Danio rerio: one gene and its partner. The protein of the gene in region 2 purifies or fractionates together with the protein of the main gene of each other region. This does not show direct contact. Links are inferred from orthologs where the notes say so. Each region holds a gene or a part of one and is shown on either strand. Other genes may lie near its edges.

Region 1 (4,073 bases), on a different chromosome or scaffold from region 2:
CAATCCACCATTACAAGAAGCGCCACCTCATGCATATCGCTATTTTGGTCTGCCTCTATTATTAAATGTAATGTAAAATGTAAACACTGTACAATCTTCATTGCTGATCAACAATAATAGTCCCAACTCCATATTGCAGATGCTGCGATGTGACTACTGCGAATGCACACACTGCAATATCGATGCTGAAACGATATATTGTGCAGCTCTAATAAACATCATCTGATTATACAGAATAATTACTGCTTGCTCATTTCTATGCGTTTACCTGTTGTGTATGGTTGAATCTGGTCCTTCTGGGTGTCTCCAGTCTGCACCTTTCACTGGTGACCACCAAGGAGCAGCAGCCACCTACTGACACACACAGACACTGTAGTGCAGCTTTGTTTTTTTTTTGTTTTTTTTTTATAAATGCACATTTGGTCTATTCTTGGCTATATTTGGAAATTAACCTCTTTATGAAAGAAGAGCTCATGCAGCAATCTAAAGTCACTTAAAAAAAAGTAGCTAAGTGTGACACTAAATGAAGGAAAGTAACATTACCATATACAGTAATACAACAATAAACATTAGTTTCCTTCTTTCTAATTTCTTTTTGTTTTTACCCAAATCCTACCCCAAGACCTGTGGAGGTGTGGAGGATTTCCAGCATAATAAGATACTAAGCTACTTTTTAAGGAAAGTAATGTGCAAGTATTTTTGCATTGTAACTTTTTTTTTTAAGAGTAAGATAGGCTTCAAATTTTAATATCTTACTTTTTATGCAACACTGCGACTTTACAGTATATTGGTTATTTCCAAGATAGTCTTCCCTGGTCCCACTTAATTTAATTTATACAGATAGTTTACATTTTAATTAGACATTTCTCTTTTCTCTTCATCATTCTGGGACCTTTTGTAATGGCCTTTATGTTTATATACACTTGAAAAATAAATAGAGTACTATTGGCAAACAGAATTAAGTTTTTAGGTGTAAACTATAGAAATGTAACAAATGTGTATGTTTTATGTTATTTAATTAGTCATCATTACCTTTTATTCAACGTTATTTTCTTTAAAGTACACAAATCTACTTTAAATAGAGTATTTTAATGTCACCAAATGTTTCTTGATTAAATTTGCTTGACAAGATTATTTGTTATGTAAACTATGACAATGAATGACATTTGGAAGGTGTATTGTGGAAAATTGTTTTGCTTAGTTAAAATACACTAAATAAACAGGACGTATTCTGCACAGAGGGAAAAAAACTCAATGCAAAGCTGTTTTACATTTGAAATATCTGATGTTTGAATTCATTTCTTCTTTGATCCACACAGTATACAATTTATCCAGCAGCAAGCAGTGGGTCATTATTGCATGTGTACACATTTCTCACCGCATGTGACAGTGTGCTCTTCACTTCTTCACTCAACAGTCCCTCAAAAACAAAGGAATCTCCAAAACGCTCAGCCTAGATAAAAAAATAATCATAAAAAAAAAATAAAAAATAAAAAAAAAAAATATATATATATATATATATATATATATATATATATATATATATATATATATATATATATAATATTGAGAGAGAGTTGGTGTACTGATAATTTGTCGTATAGCCGTGTAAAGGGTTATTTACCTCCGTTATGTAACCGGTCTGGTTGGTGAAGTGCTGGAACTGCTGGTTTGTGACTTCATGCTCTTCAATGTAAAAAGCATCCAGCTTCACTTTCCTCTGAGGTCCTTCTCCATCCTGTGGTATTCCTGGATCATCTGTTCCCATCAAAAACCAACCTCCCTGCAGCAGCACCAGCTACACACACACACACACACACACACACACACACACACACACAAACACACACACACACACACACACACACACACACACACACACACACACACACATACATACATACACACACACACACCATTCAGCTTTTATGTACAAGTCAATAGTTTATTAAAAAATGTGTTTTCATCATCACTTCCTTTTATTATATAACATTATTTCTTCCCTGCCTAATAAAGTCAGAATTAACATGTTGTTCATGTTCATATAACGTAATGATTATGACCACAGATGTCAACCTAAATGTCAAGTTTTAAATCTAAATAATTACTTTTGCATTGGTTTTCTTTCATTTTTGAAGATTCACAGATGAAAACATCATGAAACAACAATAAAATAAAATGAACAATTTACTCTGATTAACTGCTAATTTCTGAAATGAATTCAACTGAAAAGTGAGCTCTTACTATTTATTTATTTTTTGCTCACAGAAGACAGTAAATGACCAAACTAAACAACACTAGCTACTCGTCAAAAGTGACAACAGCAAACATACCTTACTGCGTACATCAGACTCAGTCTTGTCTGGACCCTCGTTCGCTGTTTTGGAGTAAATATTTGCATCATCGTGATGATCCAGTGTGTTTACATCGCTTACACCAACAGAAACTTCTCTCTTCAGTCCCTGACAACCACAATCTGTGCCTTGCGACTCCGGGGACTCCGACCTCTGCTCCTGCACAATATCGCCTACATCGCAACTCACTGCTAAAATACTAAAAAATAAAACCACGCAAATATTCAACACCGGTGCCATAGCCATGAGCCTCAGCTCGTCATGTTGATCCGCACGTCCGAAAACGGTCAGGTGATCAGTCAGCTGACACGTGTGTAGGAGCAGAGCAGACACTCACACTAGAGTAGGCTACTTCACTTTACTCAATTTAACGGGTTTAAAGATATGCATCTGCATTTATCTCAGCAACTCTGCTAGCGTGTAGCGTTTGCTTTAGTCACACAATTAATTATTTGTTCAGTTCTGAAAAGAAATGCAGGAATCTGTGACTAGAGGTCGCTGTTTGTGCTCGTCCACATTGTCGTGAGCGCGCCAGGAGGAGTCTGTGGAAGTGCAGTTGAGAAACACAGGTCCACATCTTCAGGACCAGGGGCAGGTGTTCTGACATTTTATCCTACTCATCAGATTATGCTACCAACGCTGTATTTGAATGGTTCTGAGGTTAGGGTTAGGAATTAGGGCGATATTACAGCTTCATAGCACACTACTCCACATTAAAATTTACACTGGGAGAATCTGATTAGCATATTGCGCGATTCGGGGGCTCTAAGCATATCCAGGTAGGGGGCCCAAGCATTGAAACTCAAAGCATTCTCTTTCTCTATAGATATTTTTTCTCTGTAGATTTGTTTTGTTGTTGTGGTTGTTTTGTAAAAAAAAATTATTTGCAATCTTTATTTTCTTAATGTAAAGATAAATCCACAAATAAAAACAAGCATGTACAGTTAATTAGCCATGTTTGTGGTTAGATTTCAATATTTGCATGTGTGGTATTGATGGAACGTTCCATATTCATGTGAGCCCCTGGTTTTGAAATGAAGTAATACAATTAAAATCTTTTATGGTTATAGAAAGATTTCACAACATATGATAGAAAATGTATAAAGGACCTATATGATTAATAGGCTTCTCGTCATTGGTTGGAGTCCCCTACTTCCCCTGGACCCTAAGCGGCTGCTTACCTCGCTTATTGATTAAGTTCGCCTCTGTTCAAGACATACATTTTTTAGACACACATTAATATTTATTGTAAGAAGTTTGTTTTTCTTATTGTTAATTGTGCATTCAATTCATTCATACATTTTAAAGTATTATTTATGACAGACTGTATTTTATATTAAAGGGGTAGTTCTCTCAAAACTGAAAATGTGCACACTATTTACTCATCCCCAAGTTGTTTCAAACTTGGATGAGTTTTATTTTCTTTCTTTTTGCTAAATACAAAATTATAACATTTTGAAGAATAAAACCAAAAAGTTGATTGACCCCGCTGACTACTATATAGGGCAAAAAATATAAACAATACAGCAGTAAATGTGGACTGCACCATCAATGGTTTGGTTGCCAATATTCAAAAATATTTAAAATATCTTCTCTTGTGTTCAGTAGAAGAAAGACAGACTGCTACAGTTTTAAAACTAGTGTAAGGTGTGCAGGAAATGACGACAGAGTTTTTATTTATTTTGGATGAACTATCTCTTTAGTTATCTCTTTTTTAAA
Region 2 (3,028 bases):
AAATGTACCAATCGCAAGTTGTTCGTGCAAAATCTTAAATGTTGACCCTCTTTATTGCATATTTTCACACATGATTCTACATCTGATCTCTACTCTTATTTACTGATTTATTTGTCAATGTAACATTTCCTAGATGCATAAATTGTAAGCCGTTTGTGTGATGTAAAAAATTCTGTTCCTCACTATTTGGCTTTTTTGCACTTGATTTTATATTTTAACTCTTATTTTCTACTGTAAAAAATGTTTTATTTATATTAATCGTAAAATAGCGTCTTCACATTTTCACACTTGATTTTAGATTTTATCTCATAATTTATTTACTTGCATAATTTTGCCAATGTAACTACATTATCTCTCTGTAAAAATAGTAAATTGTTTGTACGATTATAAAAAATGGTGTCTCACTATTTTGCGCTTGATCCCTTTTTATTGACATAGTTATGCGAATGACAACATTTTCTTGTTATACGATTCATACATTTTTTGTACAACATAACAAAATGCCATCTTTGCTATTTCGCAATTTCAGACTTGATTCTATCTAGATCTCCAATCTTTTATTTACTGTCAGTTTTGGCAATGTGACTACATTTTCTCACTTTTCGAATCAATAATTGTTCGTACAATACTTTTATCGCACAGTAATGAAAAATGTTTTCCCATGCTATTCGAACTAATTGTAAAATGGTGCCTTCGCATTTTCACATCTCTTATTTTATTTACTCACACACTTTCGCCAATGTAAGTATATTTTCTCTCTGCACAAATCGTAAATTGTTTGTACGATATGAACGCTATTTTGCAGTTTTGCACTTGATTCTATTTTTTCTATATATTTATTATATAGAAATTAATTTATTTGATCTCTATTATTGCATTTATTGGCATTGTTTTGCCAATGTTGATCACATTTTCTTACCGTACAAATTATAAATTGTTTGTGCGATATGAAAAAAAGTGAGTTCTCACTATTTCGCATTTTTGCACTTGATTCTGTTTTATCTTCTATCTTATTTACTTGCATAGTTTTGCCAACATAACTACATTTTCTTTCAGTACGAGTTGTTCGTAAGTTCGAATTGTTTCAGTACACATCGTAAATTGTTCGCACGATTAAAAAAATTGCATCATTCGCTATTTTGCTTTTTTGAGCTTGATCCCTTTTTATTAGCACAGTTTTGCGAATGTGATTCGAATGTGATTCAATGAACACATTTTCTTTGTACAAATCTTAAATTGTTCATGCGATATTAAAAAAATGGCATCTTCGCTATTTCGCAAGGTTACACTTTTGTATTTTATCTTTTTTTCTGACATAGTTTTGCCAATGTAACCAAATTTTCTTGCTGTACGAGTCATTAATTGTTCGTACGACATAATAAAAATGGCATCTTCGCTGTTTCACATTTTTGCACTTGATTCTATATTCTATCTCTAATCTTTTGTTTAGATACTGTACATTGTTCGCACGATAATAAGAAAATGGTTTCCTGCGCTATTTGATCTAATTGTAAAATTCTCTTCACATTTTTGTACTTGATTCTTTATTTTATCTCTAAACTTTTATTTACTCGCATAGTTCTGCCAATGTGACCACATTTTCTTTCCCTGTAAATCGACAAAACGATAAAAAAAATGGCATCTTCGCTATTTTGCATTTTTTTTGCGCTTGATTCAATATTTTTTCTTTAATCTTTTATTTACTCAGATGGTTTTGCCAATGTTGATCACACTTTCTTTCTGTAAAAATGATAAATTATTCATACAATATAAAAAAAAATGGAATCCTAAATTGTTCGTAGGATGTTAAAAAAATGTCGTCCCTCACTATTGTTTCCGCAGACATCACTCCTACAATTCTGGACTGGTTCTCTTTGCCGTACCCATCCTACAGTCTCTCCATGTCGCAACCTGTGGAGTTGACGGGTCGCTCTCTCCTCCCAGCCCTGATCTCAGAGCCATCCTGGGACACCGTCTTCTCCAGCCAGAGTCTCCACGAGGTCACCATGTTTTACCCTATGCGCTCCATCCACAAGGGCCCCTACCGGCTCCTCCATAACCTGCACTACCGCATGCCTTTCCCCATAGACCAGGACTTCTACATCTCTCCAACCTTCCAGGACCTGTTAAACCGCACTCAGTCAGGACGACCCACAGGCTGGTTTAAGACGCTAAATGAGTATTACTACCGGCAGCGATGGGAGCTGTTTGACGTCCGGACTGATCCGATGGAGAAGGTGAATCTGGCTGGTGATCTGGATTATTCAGAGGTTCTGGAGAGCCTGAAGGATCTGCTATTAAAGTGGCAGTGGAGGACGGAAGACCCCTGGGTTTGTGAACCTGATGCAGTTTTGGAGGCCAAATTGGAGCCGGAGTGCAGACCGCTATACAACGGACTATGATTTTACAGACTCATGAACTTCTTATGATTCAGGTTTTACTTGTTCTGAAGAATGTATTTGTAGATTTTTTTATTGAAATGTTAATAAAAGGTCTGAATAAAAACAAAAACATGACGTCAATATGAGCTAGATTTGTTTTGTTTGGATATATCTGAAACTGTGGTACTACAGTAGTGCGTTTGATTCACTATAGATTGCTAAAAAGGCAGTAAAGCTTCATATAATGTTTTCACTGCCCTGCATAAATGTTGTCAATCAATGTTATTTAATTACTGTCATTATTAATTATTTCAGTTTAATTTTATTACAAATATCTAAATCTAATCTAAATTAATATACAATTATTAGCATAATCATTTTAAATACTTAACAACAACAATGAAACTAATAATAATAGTATAAAAATGATATACAGAAAGCATATAATTACTATTTTAAAAGCATCAAATTGCAACATTTTAGTAATAATGCAAAGATATACCTAAGCAGTATGATTTGAATTTGATGATAACAACTGTTATTATTTAAATAATTAAAATATATAATAACAATAAAGAAGTATTAATATATTATAGTATATACATGTTTTTAAAATAACACTGAATTTGTAATATGTATCTTATTAT

The links.
Region 1: the proteins of sgsh (region 2) and sumf1 purify together in Homo sapiens (co-immunoprecipitation; 3 studies listed by BioGRID and IntAct, with this or other methods). This does not show direct contact. The link is inferred for Danio rerio from reciprocal best matches to the Homo sapiens genes SGSH and SUMF1.

Annotation. Positions count from the first base shown.
Region 1 is NC_133181.1:42,468,799-42,472,871, forward strand, and holds the start of sumf1 (formylglycine-generating enzyme precursor), read right to left. Parts: upstream 2,805-4,073; 5' UTR 2,601-2,804; coding exon 2,334-2,600; intron 1,799-2,333; coding exon 1,625-1,798; intron 1,454-1,624; coding exon 1,379-1,453; intron 352-1,378; coding exon 269-351; intron 1-268.
Region 2 is NC_133197.1:11,183,179-11,186,206, forward strand, and holds the end of sgsh (N-sulphoglucosamine sulphohydrolase precursor), read left to right. Parts: intron 1-1,842; coding exon 1,843-2,402; 3' UTR 2,403-2,522; downstream 2,523-3,028. UniProt on the Homo sapiens protein: Catalyzes a step in lysosomal heparan sulfate degradation.